Macaca fascicularis: one gene and its partner. The protein of the gene in region 2 purifies or fractionates together with the protein of the main gene of each other region. This does not show direct contact. Links are inferred from orthologs where the notes say so. Each region holds a gene or a part of one and is shown on either strand. Other genes may lie near its edges.

What was found. The genes of interacting proteins can lie anywhere in the genome.
Region 1: the proteins of CCNH (region 2) and ERCC2 purify together in Homo sapiens (affinity purification with mass spectrometry; 3 studies listed by BioGRID and IntAct, counting the BioPlex papers as one, with this or other methods). This does not show direct contact. The link is inferred for Macaca fascicularis from reciprocal best matches to the Homo sapiens genes CCNH and ERCC2.

What each region holds. Positions count from the first base shown.
Region 1 is NC_088393.1:53,406,130-53,409,777, forward strand, and holds part of ERCC2 (general transcription and DNA repair factor IIH helicase subunit XPD), read right to left. Parts: coding exon 3,587-3,648; intron 2,085-3,586; coding exon 2,021-2,084; intron 1,209-2,020; coding exon 1,087-1,208; intron 1-1,086. UniProt on the Homo sapiens protein: ATP-dependent 5'-3' DNA helicase. Component of the general transcription and DNA repair factor IIH (TFIIH) core complex, not absolutely essential for minimal transcription in vitro.
Region 2 is NC_088380.1:91,396,179-91,399,926, forward strand, and holds the start of CCNH (cyclin-H), read right to left. Parts: upstream 2,404-3,748; 5' UTR 2,294-2,403; coding exon 2,177-2,293; intron 855-2,176; coding exon 732-854; intron 1-731. UniProt on the Homo sapiens protein: Regulates CDK7, the catalytic subunit of the CDK-activating kinase (CAK) enzymatic complex. CAK activates the cyclin-associated kinases CDK1, CDK2, CDK4 and CDK6 by threonine phosphorylation.

The DNA of each region.
Region 1 (3,648 bases), on a different chromosome or scaffold from region 2:
TACAGACTGTGGAGCCAGTGCAAGGACACAGACCAGTGGGACAAAATGGAGAGTCCAGAAACACACAGCCACCTGTGCAGTTCAGTGGGGAAAGCTTTTACTGGAGCAAGTGGATTTCCAAATGGAACCAAAAAATGAACCTTGACCCCCTACCTTACACCATATAGAAAGATGAATTTGAGGTACCTCATAGACCTAGATGTGAAAGCTAAAACCACAAGCTCCTAGAAGGAAACACAGCAGCCTCTCTTCATGACCTTGGGGTATTTAAGACAAAGTTGTCTTAAATAGGACACAAAAGGCACCTGGGCTGTGGGGACTGGATCACCTTTCCGCCGTGTGGAAGCCACCTATTGAAGCACAAGGCCAAGGTCCCGGCTGTGAGGATGAGGTTCCTGCCTCCCATGAGTGCCATTCCAATACTTGGATTAGCCAGGTTCACTCACCTCGCCCCAATGTGCTTTCACCCACTCCTGAGAGCCTGGCCATGGTGTGCTCAGAGGCACAAAGTGCAGAGTGGCCTCCCCTCCCACCCAGGGACTGGCTGTGGTGAGCCCTGTTTCCAGAATGCCCCATGACTTCCTCTGCCTGCTTCCCTGAAAGGGCTCCTGCAGACCCTTGAGAGGCTTTGCCCTGAGTCTCAGTCCAGCCTTGATTCTCTAGAACCTTCCTCTAACCTAGATAGAGTCACACCTGCTACCTGGGCCTCCCCACCAGGCCATCTGTGCTGGAGGATCACAGGGATGGGGTAGCCCCAAAGAGCAGCAGGGGAGCAAGGAACCTAGAAGGTGGGGGTGACTCCGCCACAGGGTACTCCTCTGAGGGAGGGGCCCACATTGGGGCTTATGTCTGCGTTCTCAGCCTGATGTACTGGGGGCGGGGCATAGGGTATGTGCTGCTTACACCCCATTCCTACATGCTGCATGCACTCTCCTGTCACACAGGACACCTGTCACCATCAGAGGGTAAGAGGAATGAAGCTGACATAGCAGTGTAGTGCCAGGGGCTGAGGAGAACAGGTGACTCCCCTCCTGCAGTGCCAGGGGCTGAGGAGAGCAAGTGCAGGGAGGGGGTGGCCAGGCATACCTGCTCATACCAGGAGGCCACGGTGCTCTCCATGTACTGGTAGCTGGTGAAGAAGGCCACGATGCCATCAGGGACCACAGCAGACATCTCCAGCAGGAGGTTCCCGTAGTTCCGGATCACAGCTGCGAGGAGTCAGAGGTTAGGCCCTCTCCTGTCTCAGATCCTCCTCCCTTCTCTGTCTTCAAACTAGAGTTTCTGGAAACCCCACTGAGGCTGGCTGTCAGGCTATTCACACACATCCCCTTCCTCCTCCTCCCAGGCGTGTTTGAGGACCCTCCTTGCCACTTCCTGAAGTCACACCTGGCTATGTAATTTGCCATGGCCAATGAAATCAGTGCAGAAGGGGTCAGGCGCGGCGGCTCACGCCTGTAATCCCAGCACTTTGGGAGGTCGAGGTGGGTGGATCATCTGAGGTCAGGAGTTTGAGACCAGCCTGGCCAACACGGCAAAACCCCATCTGTACTAAAAATACAAAAATTAGCCTGGCGTGGTGGCAGATGCCTATAAATCCAGCTGCTCGGGAGGCTGAGGCACAAGAACTGCTTGAACCCGCAAGGCAAAGGTTGCAGTGAGCCGAGATCATGCCACTGCACTCCAGCCTAGGTAACAGAGCAAGACTCTGTCTCAAAAAAAGGCCATGTGTCACTTCCAGGGGAGCACCCTTAGGAACCAGTGCACAATTCACTGTGACCACTGTGATCCCACCTGTCATATCACGCTGCCTCTGACGCACCCAGCGATGGAGGTTCCCAGGTGAGGAGACACAGGGCAGGCCCCCTACCAGCTCGCAGTGGACGTGTCCCATGGGCAAGAAGGAAGCTCTGGGCTAAGCAACTAAGGCCAGGGACATTTGTTACAGCAGCGTGACTCAGCCCATCTGACTGATACACCTCCCTCTTGGAACCCACAGAAACCAGCCCCACTGGCAGCATACCAATATCCTCCCGGGTCTCAAATTTGGAGCTGATGGCCACCTGGTCATTGCCACGGCCGATGATCTGAAGAGAGCAACAGAGATCATGATAAGCGAGGCAGCAGCAACTGCTCCAGCGTGTGAGTGCTGACCACCTGCTGGTGCTGTTCTAAGCTTTTTTTTTTTTTTTTTTAATAGAGACAGGGCGTCACCATGTTGCCCAGTCTGGTCTTGAACATCTGGCCTCAAGCGACTGTCCCACCTTGGCCTCCCAAAGTGCTGGGATTATAGGAGTGAGCCACCACACCCAGTCTGCTCTAAACTTTTTATTAACACAGTGTCACTGAATGAACCCTCAGCTACCCTGGCCTCAGAAAAGGTGAGTTGCCTGCCCAAGGTCACACAGTGAATAGGTGGCAAACATGGAACTGGACCCGAGTCTGTCCACACTCTCCACCAGCAGCTACACTCTAGCCAGCCCCAGGCCCCAGGCCAGCCGGATCCCGAAGAACACCCCTCACTATGCCGGTGGGCATCCCCGCCAGCCGGCAACCTCACACAACCACCATGCAGTGGGTGGTCATCACTGGTCCACAACCTCTGACAGGGCAACTCCAAAAGCCAAAAGCTCTGAACACATTTCTTTTTCAGTTTGGCACAAACTCATTAAGTAGCAAAACCTGCCCTGCCCTGAGTCTCTGCAGAGGCCTGACTTACTCCTTAATGTGATGCTTCCAAATCTTTTACTGCCAAAATAGGAGTTTGACTCGGGGGAGCCACCCAGACCCCACTGGGGGCGTCACACACTACACAGCATATGCCTTGTCTCTAAAGGCTGGAAAATTCTGAATTCCAAAACAAATGGCTGCGCGCAGTGGCTCACACCTGTAATCCCAGCACTTTGGGAGGACCAGGTGGGCAGATCACTTGAGACCAGCCTGGCCAACATGGTGAAACCCTGTCTCTACTAAAAGTACAAAATTTAGCCGGGCGTTGTGGCACACGCCTGTAATCCCAGCTACTCAGGAGGCTGAAGCACGAGAATCACTTGAATCCAGGAGGCAGAGGTTGCAGTGAGCTGAGATCCGTGCCATTGCACTCCAGCCTGGGCAACAGAGCAAGAGTCCATCTCAAAACAAAAAACCAGCCTCGGGACTTCAGATAAGGGACTGAGGGCCCATGTTGACATGTACATGTTACAGAGATGGAGATGGACAGGAAGGCCCACTTACCTGGGTCACAGCCAGACCATGTACCCGGCAAAGCCACGTTAACCAAGATGCTGAGTAAGCGCCTACCTGTGCCAGACCCTGGGGTACCTAAGTGTTTTACCCCAGTTCTCTCTCAATCCTCTCAACCGCCCTGGGAGATCAGGGAGGATACATTCCCATTTCACAGATAAGAAAACTGAGGTTTGAGAGTTGTACCCCCGGAGAAGCAGAATCAAGCCTAAGTCTGTCTGAATCCCAAACCCGGCCTCTTCACTGTAAAACTCTCCTGCCTGAGCAGTGGGGGAAGCCAAGGAAGGGACGCAGCCCCTTGCTCCCACCTCCCCTCCCAGTCCCAGCCCTAGCCTCTCCCACTCACCATAGGGCAGAGGCAGACCCTGGCCAGCGTCATGGTGAAGGTTGCCATGGTGACGGGGTGGA
Region 2 (3,748 bases):
ATTATTCTCTACTCGGTCGTAAGCTAGTCACACTGTATAACTTTAAAATTTAACAGTCTTTTACTTAAGATACACTTCTATATTTGTTCTTTGCAACAAACCTGTGAGAGAATAACGTAAAGACATTTTAAACACCCTCCCACTCTAGCTTTTTTATCTTTCTGCTTTTTAATCTCAGCTACCTGTTTCTCCTCACGGTTGCCCACCCCAGCAAAAAACAAACAGGTCCTCAGAACCATACATCTGAAGCAATAAGACAATCTTTTTTAACCAAAGATAAAACTCCAGCTTCTACTAATTAAGGCTTAAAAAAATCTTATGGTATCAGTTTCAGCTGGGGCATATGATTACCAATTATGAAAGAATGCATTACTTCAAACATTTATTGGGTGTCACAGAGTTGGAAAAGCAAGTAGTCTATGTTCTAGTCCCAGTTCTATGGCTCACTAGTTGAGAACTTAGAGGAAAGTAATTTATTTTGTTTCTTTCTTTATAACATTACCTGACCTCAAATTTTTTTCTGACCACAAAATGAGACTTGAAATACTTTTGAAGATATGATACAGCAATTCAAGAGTTAAGGCCTGAACTGAAAAAGATATAATGTGCCAAAAACTAATTAATTGTAACTAACGTGAATTTTTAAGACTAGAGTGGACAGGGAATTTAGAAGAGGTCAAATTTCACAAGTCAACTAAAGGACATTATATTTCATCACTACTGTAACTTACCACAACAGACCTTGGCATTGCTGGCTTAAACACCGAACAGAATTCCAATAACCTTTTCTCATAGTATTTGCAGAGTGTCATTTCTTCATGAGGCTCAAGAAAGACTGGATCATTCGGAAGAACCTTTAGATCAACAATTACAACACAAGTTCAATGAATTCAATGAATTAAACAATTGTAAAACATTTTTCTCTATCCAGATTAAATTTAGTTTATATCTCCAACGAAGGGGAATATATCACGCCTCGTTTTCTTTATAGATTCGCTAATCATTACACAAAATAGCTGTAGGAAAACAATAAACTAAAACTGTACCATCATTTCACAACTTTTCGGAATGTCAGCTAGACCTTTGCTTCATTATATAAACAATCACGATAGGCTATGTGCATATGCTCACAGCTGTGATATCATTATTTACAAATTTAAAAGTAGATAGACTTTTTACAAATATGATTGGAAAGCTTCCAACATTCGTTTCTCGGTCAGTCATTACGACACAAGTTGTAAAAAAACAGCAAATGTTTCAATAAATTTCTGTTATTTTAAGCTACCCAGTCTGTGGTGATTTTTTTAAGGCAGCCCTTAAGGAAACTAATTCAGGTGCTAAAATCAGTGATGTGAATTAAAGGTAGAAAGTAAAGTAATTCAGTGTCAGTAATTTGGAGGCACTGAACACTTGCTGGAGTGGAGCTTGTAAGAAAGATTAAACCAGTCCTAGAGCTGTAACAGAAGGGACTTGGCTAGCGGGCCACAGTCCAAACCTTATCTTTAGTCACTTGGTTTGTATTCCGTCGCCGGTCTCCCGCCTCATCCAACCCATTCACCACGAGGTTGCTAGAGCGCTGTTTCCAGAACGGAAATCTGATAAGGTTAGCTTCCCATTTTAAATATTTCAAAGGTTCCTCATCCTTTCAATGGAAATTTCAAACGCCTCACTTCCACTTACAAACAAGTTCCCTTCCTACCCTCCCCAGCCATTCCTGTACAGGTACTCACATTCGGCCACATACGACCACAAACACGTCCACGCACCAGCCCTGTAACTTCTGACCTCCCTCCCACTCTGCACGGTAGTTCTGACTGCCTGGAACGTCCTTTCCCCATTTTCTCCGCATTGGCTACTGGGAAAAACCTTCCCCAACATCACCGCTTGACAAGTGAACGGCTCTTGCCACGCACTACCTTAGCACACTACCTACTCTCTTCTTCACCACGTTACAAAGACTGGTTACTTGTCTGCCATTCGACCACGGGGATGGCGTTGTTCGTCTTTGTACCCACGGAACCTCGCGAGGTGCTCGCTTATTTTAATAGATAAACGCACTCCGCGCCGCAGAGGCAGAGAAATGAGGGAGTGAGACTGTCCTGGGAGCCAGAAGAGCTCCCGCAGCTGCTCAGAATTTAGTGACCAAGCAACTGGGCAACCGTCGGGAAAACCTCACCTTCCCGTTGGCCACCGCTTTGCATCTGAATTTGCGGTTGGCGTCGGCCCGCAGTCTTGCCAGCTGCTCCTCACTGGAGAAAGTCCAGTGCCGCTTCTGGCTACTGTTGTGGTACATTGTGGAATCGTGACCAGGTCCAGACAGCCTACAGGTGACAACCCAACCGCAGCAGTGCCGTGGCGTAAAGCAACCGAACCCCCACCTAAGATCTCGCGGAAGCCTAGGGCGTCCGGCCAGCCGGCGCGGGCGCGCTGACGTCACGACTGCGTGTCCAGCGCGTACGCAGTCGCATTTCCGGAGCGGACTAGGAAGAGACCTTATCCAGGGTTCGTTGGGGCGCCCTCTGAGACGTAGGTGGGCGGAGCCTACGGAACGCTCCTCCCGGTGAGCCTGGGACATAGCTCCGCCCCTTCCAGGCAAGATTTAAAGGAGAAGCCCGGCAGGAATGTTCAAAAGAGGCATAAACTGAGGGTGTGGGGTAGGTTGATGTAAATTCACAGGGTGTAATCAGAAATTAGGAAAGGACTTGGTAGGGTGTTCATTTTTAAATGGAGGCCTCACTGAAGTTGACATTTGTGAAAAGGCTTTTTCGAGTTGAAATAGTAGGTTGATCAATCATGTAGGGAGATCATGGGGCCCAGAAAGAATAGGTAAGATCTTCAGGCAGAAGCATTCCTAGCCCTTTTCAGGAGGAGTTTGGAGATCGGTGTTCTTGAAGTACTACCAGAAATCTCTGAGAATGGAACATGGCTGAAAAACTTGAAGCAGTGGATGTGTATTGGCCCTTACAGTTTGCCACTTTTGTTGCCTTGTCTATTCTTTCTCTGTGCAAAAAGCACTTTCCCTTCTGTTGATAACTAGCCAATCCTCTCCCCCTATTTTCACCTCTGAAGCCAAGATGTATGGTAGTTTTAGTTTTCTTGAGATTCCCATCTTCATTGCCTCTAGGGAATCTTACAGTAAGCTATCATGAATATTAAGGTATTTACTAGTTTTTAAATTAATAGGACTTTCAAAATTGCAGGTGAGATCCAAAATTTATGTTGATTCTGAAGTGTCCCATTTAGGCATACCTTATTCTCTCATGTATTTATTATATATCCAAATTTCCCTATGGCAAATAGCTTTTCTAAATAAATAAATAAATAGAAAGAGAAAGATGATGAGACCTAGAGAATTTAGGTCTTGAAAAGCCTAAAAAGAAGTGGCAGGATGGCTTTAACTCTGCTTTCTATGAAAATGTTTTTAGAGGCTTAAGATAGGGAAAGTCTTTTCTTGTTCATTTTTGTTGGGTGCAGTTGAGGTTAGAGTTTGCCAGAGTTATTTGAATTCCTCAAACTTATGCCATTTGTGGTTTATAATTTTGGCGATCCACACACTCAACATATGTGGCTAATCTGGTGTCGTAAATTGGCTAAGAGAGAAAAAGAGAAAGAGAAGATTGAAGGGCATGGCAAATTGATAACAACGAATTGTGAACAACCTAAAATGTTGCATATGGGGGAAAGAATAATTTAATGGAGAAAAACATTAATGGTACAAAAGATAGGAAAATAAGTGATCTAGATAATT